Linked DNA regions of Lytechinus pictus. Each later gene encodes a partner of the first gene's protein in a complex. Links are inferred from orthologs where the notes say so. Each region holds a gene or a part of one and is shown in the gene's direction. Other genes may lie near its edges. The genes, in order: iron-sulfur cluster assembly scaffold protein IscU-like and LYR motif-containing protein 4-like.

Evidence for each region.
Region 2: iron-sulfur cluster assembly scaffold protein IscU-like (region 1) and LYR motif-containing protein 4-like share a complex: the UniProt entries of both Drosophila melanogaster proteins name them as parts of the mitochondrial core iron-sulfur cluster (ISC) assembly complex. The link is inferred for Lytechinus pictus from reciprocal best matches to the Drosophila melanogaster genes IscU and bcn92.

What each region holds. Positions count from the first base shown.
Region 1 is NC_087248.1:21,450,234-21,457,559, forward strand, and holds the start of iron-sulfur cluster assembly scaffold protein IscU-like, read left to right. Parts: upstream 1-4,255; 5' UTR 4,256-4,479; coding exon 4,480-4,584; intron 4,585-6,660; coding exon 6,661-6,774; intron 6,775-7,326. UniProt on the Drosophila melanogaster protein: Scaffold protein for the de novo synthesis of iron-sulfur (Fe-S) clusters within mitochondria, which is required for maturation of both mitochondrial and cytoplasmic [2Fe-2S] and [4Fe-4S] proteins.
Region 2 is NC_087246.1:65,511,559-65,519,813, forward strand, and holds the start of LYR motif-containing protein 4-like, read left to right. Parts: upstream 1-5,067; 5' UTR 5,068-5,299; coding exon 5,300-5,391; intron 5,392-6,358; coding exon 6,359-6,479; intron 6,480-7,017; coding exon 7,018-7,086; 3' UTR 7,087-8,255. UniProt on the Drosophila melanogaster protein: Stabilizing factor of the core iron-sulfur cluster (ISC) assembly complex that regulates the stability and cysteine desulfurase activity of Nfs1 and participates in the [2Fe-2S] clusters assembly on the scaffolding protein IscU.

The sequences.
Region 1 (7,326 bases):
AGAATACAGCTTCTCGAAAATATTTGATATTTAATTAACATTACTTCGCCCAATTTTTATTTGTATTTTAGTAATAAAATACGCTCATACTTACAGATTTAATAAGGGAAAACAAATGGATTCTCCAGTATCTGATTTAAATTCATGGCTATCTCTGAACCAAAAAATAAAAATAAAAAGGGGGTGAGAAATCAAAGATATACATGATTTTTGTGTGTTTTTTGTTTTGATTTTATTCTTTAAAATTAAAGAGTTAAGCTTTCAGTATGCAAATATGACTCAAATTTAGATGTCATATTCGCAAAAGCAGGAGGTTTTCGGGGTTTCACATAACTTGATCGACAAATCAATTTTACATGAGTTTATCTTCAAGAAGAGAATAAATTGCAACGCCTTAAAAATGTAGACCATTGTGGCAATAAGACGAAATTGACAAAAAACCGTGATATTATGCTATCAGATAAGACTATCAGAAATTATTCCTGAGAAGTAGATCAATCAACGAATTGCAGACCAATATAAACCGTTTACATTGCTATAGAGAAATTAAAATATTTGTGTTTGAAAAGAGTGTTACAGGCCTACAATGAAACAAGACAACAGCTCAAAATACGATTTAGTTCGTCTTGCATCCAAGATATTTCCAGTGTTGTGTTCGTCTAGGACTATAGGATCAGATCAATAATGCTCTCGCAATTAAAGCTCGAGCTAATTTTTTTTTTTTAATTGACCTGGAAATAAATTATTTTCAGGACTCTTATCGGTTTTCAAGGTTCTTTCCTTACACTCTACTTCTCACAAATTTCGTGTGTTCTCCAATTATTTCACATCATTAACCAGAATAGGAAAACTATGAAAAATGAATTATATGCCAAATGTTGGTAAAATAAACGGGACAAACCGCATTTTGCTTGGTTGCATGCAGGAAGAGGTAACAAAAAGGAATTTTGAAGAAAAAGATATGATATATCAATACAGAGACATGAACATGTTATTCTGTTTGATCCTGATTTTTATTTTCTTTTTCCGTCTATATGTTTGTAACAGTTTCAAAAATGAGTGGTTTCATTCTAAAGCGATCAAGAACATTATGAGAAAAACACTTTCAATTGTCATCAAGCGTAAATACAATAAACATCACTACCACCATCTTGACGTACAATCATCATCATCATCATCATCATTATTATTATTATTATTGTTATTATTATTTTTACTTGTTGTAGTAGTAGTAGTAGTTGTTGTTGTTGTAGTAGTAGTACTACTAGTAGTAGTAGTAATGTTATTAGTATTATTATTGATATGATGATTATTATTATTATCATTATTATTCATCATCATCATTGTCATTCTATTATGATCGTACATGTCATACGCTTCATCATATTGAAATATATTATGATGTTTATCGAATTATTGGGTGATGATAACTTAGGTCATCCCCTCCCACCTACAAATAATTAAGGATATATCTCCCACCCCCCCCCCTCCTCCCCCGGATCGAGACAGTCATATGGTTTTGACCTAAATTGTAACCAGCTAAATATCTTATCCTGTTTGCTTCATATTCAACAAACCAACACATTTATATCACTTGGAATTATTCAAGCGATTCTGTATTCCTATTGCACATATGGCTTACCATACATCATAAATATGTATGAGTAATTATGAATATCATTCCTTGTGATTGATCATCGTTTACAGGCAAACATGCGGATAAAAATCTATTCAGAAAATCAAGACGCAAAAATCTTTAGTCTCATTATCTTCCAATTAATTACCAACCAGGTTACGCATTTATATATAAGCACAGCACCTATGGATTATTAATTAATGTGCAATCTATAACATTGCATCTCTTTACTAACTGCTACAACAAATATCTTTATTTTGGTTGGGATGGTTGAGTGCCCTCTTCGGCGGCATGCCTTAAACTAATGAGTAAGGAAAATAACGAGCCTAGGTAGCCCTAGGTTCCACAGCTTAAATAGTCTGTGAGGAATTTTTCTAGAGGGAACAGGTAGCCCTTGGAGTGACCCATCTTACTTTGATGGGATGCACCACGATTGGCTATCTTCCCGTTCATCCCTCAAATGTCATAGAAAGAAATATCAATCATATAATACCTTGGTCACGTTTGCTCTACGGCCGCCGTAAGGCGAATCGAAAACAGCCGTTAAATATTTTGTGTACCAGCTTCATATAGGTGGTTTGAAAAAATGAATATAACGGGTGCTTTCGACTCGCCGTACGGCTGCCGTAAAGCAAATGTGACCGAGGTATTAGCAGTGTCTCGCATCTCATATTGCCAAGAAAAAATAATAAACTTACAAATTATTTTCGGAATTTAGATTTAAGTTGTAAGTTATTTACTATCATAATTATTTTACAACTAACAATGTCTTGATGAGCCTGAATCTAACTTGTTCTTACGCGCTGATGTTGCAATCTTGCCCATTCGTGCGATTAAATTCAACAATCGTAATAATAAATTTTCTCCCCTTCCTTCAAATTAGATAAGCTAATAAAAAAGCAATAGTTCTTGGATAACATCTATATAATAATGACCGTGCAATATGAAAATCTTACATTAAAGAAAATAACAAGGAAATCATAATATTGTCATTACTATCCCCCAACGCGTGCAAAGATCCCACTGTTGCTACTTTCTTGCCTTTAAAGGGGCCCGATCACCCTGTAGAAAAGTTTGTTGTAAAAATAGCCGGCAGAAAAAATAAATAATCAAACATATTGGTGAAGGTTTGAGAAGAATTTTAACATGGTTAAGTTTTGGATTTGTGACGTCATAAACGAGCAATAGCCCAACGGGTAGCCCAACATGTTATGTAATATAAAATGCATCCAATTTTGTAATGGTCCGTATTTGTGGCCGTGAATATTCCTGGTTTCTTTTTAGGAACGGGTGCGGAATCATTGTCTATTGATATACTGAAGGCACAGAAAAAGAAACATTTTCAATTTTCTGGGAAAATGACATTTCATTGATCAGTTGATTTTGCCATATTGTAGGAAAGCTGCTCGCATATGACGTCACAAATCAAATAATTAAAATTCGAATAACTTGTTTATTCTTTGATCGATTTTTCTCAAACCTCAGGCGGCAATATTAGTTTATTATTTTTTTCTAGGATATTTTCACAATAAACTTTTTGTCAGGGTGAACTTCCCCTTTAATATTATTATAGGGGATGAGGAATACGTATATAGAAGAGACAAAGTGACTACATTAACTACTTGTTAATCATTGTTAATTGATATGTCGTATTAATTGTTTCCAAATGATGACAATTCTATTGCTCTATTATTTTTTCTCTCATTTCTTTTTCTCAATTAGGCCCTACTTGTATTGATTATCTGTGATTTATTGCACAGAATGATAAAAAAACAAGAAAAAAATATAAAGGACCCCCCCAAAAAAAAAAAAAAAAATTGTGTCTATTATCATCATTTACTAGGATACTTGAACGTGAGAATGTAAAGCGATGCCGGCGTATCGAGCTATATTTTCGATAGTAACGTGATTGACTTACATATATTTCACACAATTATATAACATCCGAATGAATATCGTATGAAAAATAAGACATGGCAGCATATTCATCTTTTTAATTAAATAATACGGCGATTTGAAATCAAGGACAGTTCAAAATATGGTGAAATATTAGGGAACCTGCATTAAAAAAAGCAAAGCTTGTCAGGTCTGCAGGATCAAAAAGAAATATGAAGTCTTAATTTGCAATTGATATAATCTGAAACTAATACATAAAGAAATGCCAATATTTACAACTGTAGAGTACGTGTACATGAAAAAGAAGAAATACGTGTTAATTTGCCACTATTTGCAACTATTATGTATAGTGTAATTAGAATCCTTGACAAAAAAATAGAAAAATAGGCATAAATATATATAGGGCCTATTGGAAGTTCTGCCTTACTGTTAATTTTTCTTCGTTGCTTAATTTCTTTATCTATTTCATTAAGTAATTTATGCATTTATTTATTACTTATTCAACTTTTTGTCTCGTTTATTTCTTCGTTCTCATTTAATTATTGATTTATTGTTTATTCATTTAATTCATTCATTCATTTATTCATTCATTAATTCATTCATTCATTCATTCATTCATTTATTTATCTTTTTTTTTTCAATTAATTAATTTATTTATTCATTCATTCATTTTTTATTTGTAGATTCATTTTTTTTCTCTCTGTCTTCATCCAATGTATTACGGTGGATAAAATGGTCTATGATAACATAATATTAAGGGAGGGAGCGAAAGAGTGGAAAAGAGAGAGGGGGGGAGAGAGACTGAGAGGGGAAATCCTTATTTTAATTAATATTTACCCATAGGCCATGTGACGTGACATGTGTCACGTGATAATGATAAACAACTTTACGCAATCCGCTGTTTTCGCTTATTCTGACTGCGACGAATACAAATTTGTGACATCAAAATGCCAATTTCAAGCAATGCACGACTACTTGGGAAGACTTTGCGGCCTCTACTGGCAACAAAGTTAGTTCAACCGGTTCCTGCATCAGCCTCGTATCATAAAAATGTGAGTACATCTTTTTGTGGCGACCAGAAAATTATGAGAAGAATGAGATGAGAAGGCTGCCTACACGGCTACAGTACCACTACCACTGGTACTAGTATCAAAGCCGAGTGAGAGCGCGCGGAGCTGAGTTTGTGTGTAAGGTTGCAGTTGGTAAAACCAGGTGGCAGTTTCCGGTCAAATGTGTAGTTAGTTAGTTGCAGCAAACCATGAGAAAGGGGCTTACGCTTAACAATACTGTAAGGTATAATGTTAAGCCCCTTTCTCATGTCCCTATAAATAGGAACATGTAATACCAATACCATTTTGTAATAATGGAAAAGTTTTAAGTCTGAAATTTTTCCTCAAAATTGGCGCTAATGCAGTTTCGCACCAGCCGATTACCAGCATACCTCATTACCAATACTTGTTCCCAAATGTCATGACAAGTCTGTCAGTCACATTTCCAGGTCAATATACCCACCTTTTTGGACTGAAGTTATGCGACCAAGGCAAAAGATTCGCCTAGCTGCAGCATGCTGGCAGTTCGCCACATGTTCGCATGATTTGGTTGCTAACTTCAGTCCATCAACATTACGGTGCCCGGCGAATCCAAGGCCAAGATCCGTGAAGTGATGTCTGAGGATTCGAACAACGACATTGAGATCAAAGCTGAAATACAGCCGTTCCTGATCGCGATATTTGGAAAAGAGGTAGGTATATATTGACCTCGAAATGTGACTGAGAGACTTGTCATGACATTTGGGGACAAGTAAATTTAGTGGTGATGAGGTATGCTGGTAATCGGCCGGTGCGAAACTGCATTAGCGCCCAATTTCTTACATTTTTTAGTATGTAATCCCCACCCACCGACGGTAGTCATGGTAGTGTGTTAGTGCGAGCCTGCCTGCATGTGTATCACGTCGCCCAATTCGAGGTTAGCTATAGCTATACTAACCAGGCACTACACGTCACAGTCAGTGCCGTGAGTCAGTGACAGTGGATTTTTGAGAAGTCAGTAAACATCACTTCATAACAGAAGTAGATTTAAACATTGAAATTCAATTTAAAGAATAGAAAAGTTGCTTACTTTTTTGGAAAGCTCGAAAGTGGTGTTGCATACTCTTCCACAGAAGTAAAAGGAAGCCCGACATGCCTGATGGTGGCGCTAACGAGCTAAATTAGGGTTGCTAATTTTAAAAGTGCCGCGCTATTAATATTCACAACCTTAATTCAGCTCGTCAGTAGTTTTATAACTGTGTCTAAATTCTTTGTAGACCCTATGTGCAATTCTTATGATTATTTGATAAAATATGGGTAGAGTCTACCAATAAATACAATACCTTTGAAACGTAGTTAAAAGGGGAATGAAACCTTTGGAATAAGTAGGCTTGTGTCGAAACGAAAAAATCAAAGAATAAGAACAAAGAAAGTTTGAGAAAAATCTGACAAATAATTAGAAAGTTATGATCATTTGAATATTGCAATCACTAATGCTATGGAGATCCTCCTATTGGCAATGCAACAAGGATGTGTGATGTCTCATGTGAACAACTTTTTCTTTGATGGACTATAAAATACCCCCAAAATGTCTCCTTTTGCTTTTTGTTATGGTGATACAAACTCTTTATCCATGATGTATTCTTTAAAAATCTGTATTACATGCCCTCCTACAGAAAGAACACATGATCTACTGATAGATGTAATAAAAGAGGCAGTTCAAGTGAAATATATACTAAAGAAATGGGGAGAGTTGTTCACAAGTGACATCACACATCTTTGTCGCATTGCCAATGGGAGGATCTCTATAGCATTAGTGATCGCAATATTCAAATGCTCATAACTTTTTCATTATTTGTCTGATTTTTTCTCAAACTTTCGTTGATCAGTTTCTTTGAGTTTTCTGTTTTCACACAAGCTATCTCGTTCCAAACGTTTCATTCTTTAAATGCAAGGTTACTCTCCAAAGCATCTGCTACTTGCTTGTCAATCACACAGTGCAAGAAATGTGTGCAAGTAGTAATCCATCGTGAAGCTTATCTTAGTCTAACCTGTCTTGATCCAACTGATCTCATCTCCTATTTATCTTTGTATTCTTAGGTGATAGATCACTACGAGAACCCAAGGAATGTTGGAGCAATGGACAAGAATGACAAGAATGTTGGCACAGGGTTGGTTGGTGCACCAGCATGTGGTGACGTCATGAAACTACAGGTAAGCTTTGATTTAGAAAGTTATTCCGTTATGATTCTTGTGACTGACTGTAAAATTAGAATATAAGGTTAAGTAACAATTATGAAAAAATATTGTTCAGCTGTTAATGACAACATCTAGAGATGTCAAGTTCAAAGTATAAAATGAATATCAATAAGTCATTTTGCAAAGCATTTTTCATTCATTCATTCATTTCGGTGTTTTTTGTTTTTTTTTTAAATTTTATTTAAATAGTAAAATCAGTGAGATATCAGGCAGGATTTTCCTAAGAATGTAACCAGTATTTTTCTTTATCTTGAATGCTCACAAGTCTCAATTGACTTTGCATTATCAGCACTGACTTTAAATTGGCAACACCGTGCCAATTTGAGGAACAAAGGCAGATTACTCTCCATACCAAAGTTGTGTACTCACTGGGGTAAAAGAAATAGGTAATTGCTCTGAAATAATCTATAATAAAGAAAAAAAAGATATCTTAATCTCTCTCTCTTTCTTCTTTCTTTGTTTTTCTTACTCTTTCTCTCCCTCTCCCCCTTTACCCTCTCCTCCTTC
Region 2 (8,255 bases), on another chromosome or scaffold:
TAGTTCTCTCCAAAACTGTGCTCAAAATTGTTTCCAAGATTGATAAAGAATTTTTTTCTTTTGTATCATTATCAGTCTACAACTTGCAAACCGTAGGTCCTGGAAAGAGTGAAGAAAAAAATGGCTATATCCAAATCATAGTAAAAGGACATGATGGAATCTCCCAGATTGAGGTAGCAAGCCGAGACCAGAAGTCACCAGAGTCAGCAATTGTGCAGATCTGTGTGTAGAAGAGAGAAAAAAAGAAATAGTTTAAATAATCAAATCAAAGTATGAATTTAATTATCGTGATGATTGATGACGTGCGGTGGCATGTAATTCCCGGTCAACAACAAATGATAGTAGGTTTAGACACCTGAAAAGTTCCACTCAGAACACTGGTGCTCTACCTCAAGTGATGTTTGTGTAGGCCCCACTCCACTTCACTACCGCTACACTACCGCACATGTACGCCACACCTACCCGGGTAGGTGTGTAGCGTAGTGTAGGCTGTAGCAGTACTCCAGTAGTGAAGTGGAGACTACACGAACATCACTTGAGGTACGGTGCTCTCTGAGTCTCTGTGTCATTACAAAGATTGCATTTATCTTCATTGTTGAAGGCATTACGCATACATATATGCAGCAACACTCTAATCAGAAAGTAACACCAGACTCTAATTTTGGCCCACCCAAGGGTTCATTACATGCCGCCGCGCACAGAAAATTCAAGCCATAGAAGTCGTGAACCCAAGAAGTGAGATCCCAGCACGCGCGACCCACTAGTTAGAAATCCACTGCCAAACGCGGTTCGTGGTTAGTATACTAATACTAACCTCGCAATACGTACTAGTAGTATACTAATACTAACCTCGCAATACGTGTGAGTGATTTTGGCCAGGAATCAGGGTAATCACTGCTGAAAATTTGTCTGGCTTCATGACATCGGCATCATGGTGTGTAATTCTGTGTATAATAAAAACTTAAACATTCCTCTGAAACAGCAGATTTTCAGCCATGGTCCATACCACTCAGTGCTCCTAAATAATTTAATCGCCTGCCTGAGTCCTGACCAGTTTTAGAAATCTGAAGAAAAAATCTGCTGGAATTGTGCCACTCACACGTATTAAGTATACTAACCTCGCACCACGAACCGCGTTTGGCAGTGGATTTCTAACTAGTGGGTTGCGCGTGCTTAGCCTGGAGGCGTCTGGGATCTCACTTCTTGGGTCCACAACACACGACTTCTATGGCTTGATTTTTCTGTGCGTGGCGGCATGTAATGAACCCTTGGGTGGAATTGTGCAAAAACATTATTTCTAAAATAAAAACTTTTTAATTTTGATAGTAGTTATGCCAAAATGCATGATTCTAAACTTATATCAGATCTGTATCTGTCATCTGACCTGAATGCATCGTCAGAACAAGTACAGTTTCCAAACATGCTTACCTTGACTTTTGACTGGATCAAACAGCGTAGCCTGCAACATGCATCGGGAGCAAGTGAATGGGACCGTGCAGCTTGGAGTTTTTCAATAGTTAGTAGAGCAACACAACGAAGACTGTCGAGTGGACAAAATCGATCTTTCCAGTTCACAATTCAATAAAAAACGGGCAAAATAACACAGTTCTGGTTCCCTTATAGTCTGAAGTTGTCGAAAACAGAATTCGGATGTCACATTACATGAAGAAAACGGTAAATTCGGAAGATATTGAAGAGGTCAGTAAGGTGATTCAGTGTATTATGCACAGAGCTAGAGGGATGATGAGCTCGATTATTGTGTGACGTCATTATTCTCGACTGTTTTCACTGCGTGAACTCATCGGTCTGGGGGCGGCTGGGGGGCTTAGAATGGTCTCTAATAATTTCATTTCTTGCATTTCCACGACATCAATAAGACTTTTTAGTGACATATTTGTGTATAAAAAGACAAGACCTTTCCATTCATATATAATTTGTCTATAATCATCACAAATCGTGAATTTTCTTTGGATGTATACTTTAAAGAATTTAACCGATAGAGGTAGAGGGGGAGGGGTGGGGGCTAGGGCTGGACAGTCAGCCTAGGGACGTTTTCCAAGTGTTCAGAAAAAAAGTGAGTAAAATTCCATTACACATTAAGCTCCGTGATTTAGCTCAAAATTCTGCAAATTTTGATGAATTTAAATCTGCTCGATCCGGATCGACATCATTTTAGGGATATTTATGCCTGATGGCCTCAATTGGGCCGCGTCCAGTCAAATCCAATCCATTTTATATAGGCATATTTGGGGGTATTCAAAAATGTATAAATCAATTAAAATAGCTATAATCTCTGTATCAAAATATCTACAGTTGCCTCTCGGTGCTAAAAATTGCCGGGCTGCTGTTTTTTTTTTTTTTTTGCATCGGTTAGAGATTTCAAGTTTCAAAAGATTAGAATTCATTTGAAGATTTAAAGGATCATAATTATTTCAAAACCTAAATGTTTATATTTTTCCAATAATTACTAGTATTTTTTCCCGTAGTAATGTTGCAGAAATCTATCATTTCGACTAATGCTTGTATGATACACAATTATTTTTATTACGAAAAGTGCTTGAACATATTTCGTTTTCAGCTCTTATGATCAAACTAAATTGTTCAGCCCACACTTAATTGCCCTCGCATTGGTTGTATAGGCATTTTGTTCATTAATTTTTATTACAAAAAGTGTTTGAAATGGTTTCGGGTCTGAATGTTATACAAAAATGTTCAGCTTGTATTATTGATTTTGGATAATTATCATTAACAATAATGTTCCTTTTTCAGATCACCGTTGACCCATACAGGCGCGGATCCAGGAGGGGGCCGAGCCGGCCCCGGCCCCCCCTATTTTTTGTCAACCTGCAGAAAAAAAGTATACTCTTTAACTTGATAGAAACTACGAAAAACGGCCGACCCGACCCCGAAAGGAAACAAGAAAAAGGTGAGGGGAAGAATTGAAAAATAGACTTTATATAATAATTTGTGCTCGCGTTTCGCGCTCGCATTGCCTGTGTAATGAATCCCATTCAAGAGGATTAAATGACACTTAATATAACCAGTTCTATAATCAATTTGCACACAATATTTTAGCTCACACATCAAGCTTTCATTATTATGTTTGATTTACACAAATTGTTAATGTATATCAAAATTTTCAGCTCGCGCTGCGCGCTCGCATTGTTTGATTAGTGAGATACCTATCCTCTTTGAAAGTTTTTACCAAAATTTGTCAAAATGCTCCTTTATCATGTAAATATATCAAAAAATTAAGCTCGTGCTTCGCGCTCGCATTTAATTGTTTGAGACACACAGCCTGTTCTTTATTTAAATAAAAAACGCGCTTAGACTGTTCAATTTTCAGGTCGGAATATCAAAAATTTTGAGCTCGCGCTTCGCACTCTCATTATTAAATTGGTGATACTTGTATCCTCTTCATTAATCACTAATCACTAATTGAGTCCCTTTTCACGTTACTATAATAAAATTTCGGCTCGCGCTTCGCGCTCGCATTGTTTAGTTGTTCATGAATATAAAAACTGCTCAGAATCTTCAATTCTAAGGACATCAAATATCAAAGAATTTTCGCTCGCGCCTCGCGCTAGCATTATATATCAAGACCACATGAGATACCTTAACTTGTTTATAACAAAAAAACTAACATATACTAAAAACTTCAGTCTTTAGTTAGGACTACCCCCTGAAAAGCCAACAAAAAATCAGATGATAGCGGCCAATCGAGAAAAATGTTGATGAAAATATTTTTCGGCCCCCCCTATTGGAGAAAGCTGGATCCGCCCCTGCCATAGGCCCGCTGTATAAAAATTTTCAGCTGTTGCTCATCGTATACTTTTTCGTTGTTAAGTCTATAGATCTCAATATTTTTTTTAGCTTGCTCCAATTAAGTTCGCACTTGGCATTTTTAGCGAGATACGAGACGTATCGATCTATTTATGATCAAATATAAAAATAGTGCTCAGATCAGGTTATTCGGGTTTATAATATATCAAAATCAGTCAGTCAGTCCTTGAAATAATCCTCTATATATCTACTGATTATAATTTTGTAAAGCAAATGTTAAAGGTCTCAAGGACTACCCCCTTTGTGACAGATAATTTTTTTCCCGACTCTCCATATTGGCACTCCGATTGGACATTGCTGGATCTGTCCCGCCATCAAGGGTCAGGTCCCGACGATTCTTAAGAGGCGGTGTTGTTTTGAATTTGACAAGCAAGCAAGCATGCAAAAAAAATGAAGGTGATTTTGATCCAAGAAAAATTTAGAAAAACGGGGTAAAATATTAAATGGATCTTTCATTTTCAGATTTTTTTGGTAAATCAAATGCTTGCTCGCGAAACTTAATTTAGATAGTGACACAACATTTGCTCCGGGCCTTATTTTTGTCTAAGATGGAGGGTTATAATTATAGAGCAGGGAGTCTCGGTCTGGTTAGAGTTAGTATAGTATACATGGTAAAATTATGTTAGGTTATTAGGGTAAGGTTTAGGGTAGGTAGGATGTAAGGTTTAGGATAGGATATATAGGCCTAATATAGTGTTAAATCCAGCCGTTGAATTCAGTCATTCGACTGTCGCCGGAGCAAACGGGAACCGTTTTTACAGACCCCCCCCCCCCCCCCGAGGCACCCGGTCATGGCAACTCGGAGTAGAGTGGATGATGATGATGATGCACAGCATTTTTATCAGTAGCGCCATATATCTGTCAAAGATACAAATAAGGCGCATTTTTGAAGGAGCCAGCCAATCTGGGTCCTATATAGTGCATACATTAACCAAAAATGATAAGAATTTTCCCTCCCTATGCATGAACATGATGGCCCTGGGAAGCGATCGAGGATGCACCCCAAGATTCAACTTGGGGTGCTGACTGTACCGTACATGTGTTATTCACCATGTATTAGTAAAAAAATAACTTTTTTTGGGGGGGGTCCAATTTTTCCTAGTACCGAAATCACCATCATTTTGTAGCGATCGACCCCCCTTTTCTTTGCTTGTCAAATTTAAACCAGCACCCCCAATACAAAAATCGTTCCCGTGTGTATGAAATCACTTACATCATTCTTTCACAGATGGTAAGGAGTGCATTAGCAATATACTCCCGCATTTACTTCCCCTGAATCGCCACGCACTGATCAGTGTGTACCGCTTAGAATGAGTTATCACACAAAGTAATCACATTATTTTATTTTGGGTCCAACACATGCAGTCAAGTCGAAAACGGCAATCATTGATGTCTATTGCGTTTACTCTTCGCTGAACGAACGTGAAGCCTCCAGTAGAAATAATTTTACGGATAAATGGCCGCTGCTCAAGTTCATAGGATGAAAATATTGAGCCTGTACAGAGAAATGCTACGGGAAGCCCAGAAATTCACTGGATATAATTACAGGTTAGAGTGGAAATTCCATGCTTTAATAATGCACGTTTTTTATGTATGACATATATATAATATTTAGTCCCATGTACTCGAAACGACGTATGGTAATGATATTCATTATGTAACACCTTTCATTTCATATATTTTTACGAACTACATGTACTCAAAAGTTCAAAACTCACAAAATTTAGATCTAAGTTGATTTCATATTGTAAATTACTGATCACTTGGAAGCATAGGTGCTCTATTATAATATGGTCAATTTATGTAGCAAGAAAGTAGAATAATTATTAATATTATGACATGTTTTTGAAGTATAATTATAAAACTAAAAGTTCACCACTCATCGAATCCGACCAATTTGATTGAAATTCATCTGCAAAAAAAAACAACCATGTTGCCATATAAAAGTAGATTTTTACCCTTGGGCCTGGCCTTATGAATAAACAAAATTTTACTTTGCATTCAAACCAACTTTGCATATGACGTGTAACTTTATTTATTTTTTGCTTTTTATGATGAAAACAGTAACTTTTCCTTCCTCAGCTCAGCCTGAGAGTGAGAGACATGGTAATGGCTGCATTTACCGTTAAAGGCATTATGGATGTACAATGTAATTTGTAATTGTAGAGCATAAGAGCTACATCATACAGTATCTATGCACCTGCAGGTAAATGTTATATAAATCATTGCTATTTACTAAAAACATGATAGACCTTGTTAGGTTTTTATAATGATATTTTAGCTTAATGATGAGGTATTTTCAGGGAACTGATGTAATTTTAAACAAAATTGTTATGATGTCAAATTACTGTGCTCTATAATTTTTGGCATCTATCTATCTATCTATTGATATATCTATTTATGTATTTATCTATCTATCTATCTACATGTATCTATCTAATAATCTATCTATCTCTCTCCCTGTAATCATTGTTCTAATCTGTTTCTTTTTTTTTTCATTTCTTTTTATTGTCAGGACGTATGCAGTGAGGAGGATACGAGATGCCTTTCAAGAACACAAAGCAGAAACAAATCCAGAGCTTATAGAAGGATACATCAAGAAGGCTGAGGATAATTTGAACATTATCAGAAGACAGGTAATATAGACAAACACTGTATTCAGTCCCAGGGGTAGTGCCAGTGTATTTTGATAGGGAGGAGAAGGGGGGAGGGGCAAAGCAACAGGACAACCTAAAGGGGAAGTCTATTTATAGAGTAACATGATGACCCATACATGTACTTGTCATTTTGATACTCTACTTTGTTCTTTTTTTCTTTATTTTTTTCTTTGCAAATCACAATCACAATCAATCAATGTACAATGTACGTCTGGAGGCAAACAAACTAAATTGTGTTACAGAAAGCCATATGATGGATGTTTGGCCCAGAATATATAGATTTTAGTTGTCATAAGGTTAATAAAAAAAACCATATATTCAAAGAAGGGTCTCTGAACATAGACTGACAAATCTTGATACAATCGGATGGAGCTTACTGTACATGTAGTAATAGTAGTAGAAGAAGTAATATTAGTAGCAGTAGTAGTAGAAGCATTAGCAAAAGCAGTAGTTGTAGGAGTAGTGTCAATGTTAACTTGAAGTCAAGTATAATGTTAACTTTCACTTATTCTTAAAGGCCACTATCAGCCAACTTTACAGGGAACCTAAGCTGGTTATTGAAAGTGATTCAGTGAAGACAAGCTAACCAAAGAAAGTGTCAACTTCTGGACAGTTTCCTATGCAAATAACAAGGATGATGTAAGTGACAGTATCTGAGGATTTGGGGAAGCAATATTTTGACTCCCAAATATTACTTGTCTCTTCTGATGAAGAACTTGTTTCCCATTTTAATCAGAGGGAGAGGATACCAGATGAAAGAATGATTGCATCATTGCAGCTATGGAATAGAATGAGATGGAGACAAATATTTCATGAATTTTTAGTTTGAGGTGTGCTTGTTCCTAAGCTCATAATGTGTACATGTGTCATGTGCATGTTACATGTCATCAATTTTTAACATGCTGGCATTTCATTTAAAGTGGGGAGGGTGGGTTCAAAACAAGGTAAATGAATAGATAAAAAATATTCAAAGGATTTTTGATGAACATCAAAATTTTATATGACACCTGTCATCAATAGTGAAAATGAAAAGGTTGTCATTTGACCCAGATGCTTTTTCCCAGATTTGCCATGAGATATGTACTTGTTTATTGTTTAAACTTTGATAGGTGAAAGTGGAATGTATTTTTTAATAATTATCTTTACCCAAGATTCTCCTTTTTTCTGAATATTTCTGGATATGGCTGTATTCAAGCAGCTAAGCATTGGTCTATGGTCATAATAAAGAATTAAGAATCCGTTCAAAACAAAATCATGAAAACAGGCCTGCATGAAAAGCTAGAATTAGTGTGTTTTGGATAATTATTTTGAAGATTCTAGATAGCTAAAATTCACTTGAACAATGGAGATTCAATCCTTCGTGAATGAAGTCATTATATAGCCTGCATCTTTTTCTGGCATGCACTTACATCACTTACATTCATCAGGTTTAAACTATAATTCCTGGTTCAAACTATGGACCTACATGGTCAAATTATGCAGTAGTGTGGCAGTATCAAGACTTGAATGTGGGAGGATCAACATTGATAAATTTCACTGGAACAGTCTCCCACAATCGGTCCCACAATCGGTCACACTGAGTGTGTGTGTTGTATCAGATTTTTGATGTATGACTTTTGCTTCATGATATTAGTTTAAAGGTGCAAGATCCTGGCGCTGTTGGACAAAACGTGTACTCACCACCATCTTCATTACGAAGATCATCAAGGTAATTTTGCATGCAGCTGTCAATGACCAGCCAGTCGCGCAGCACGT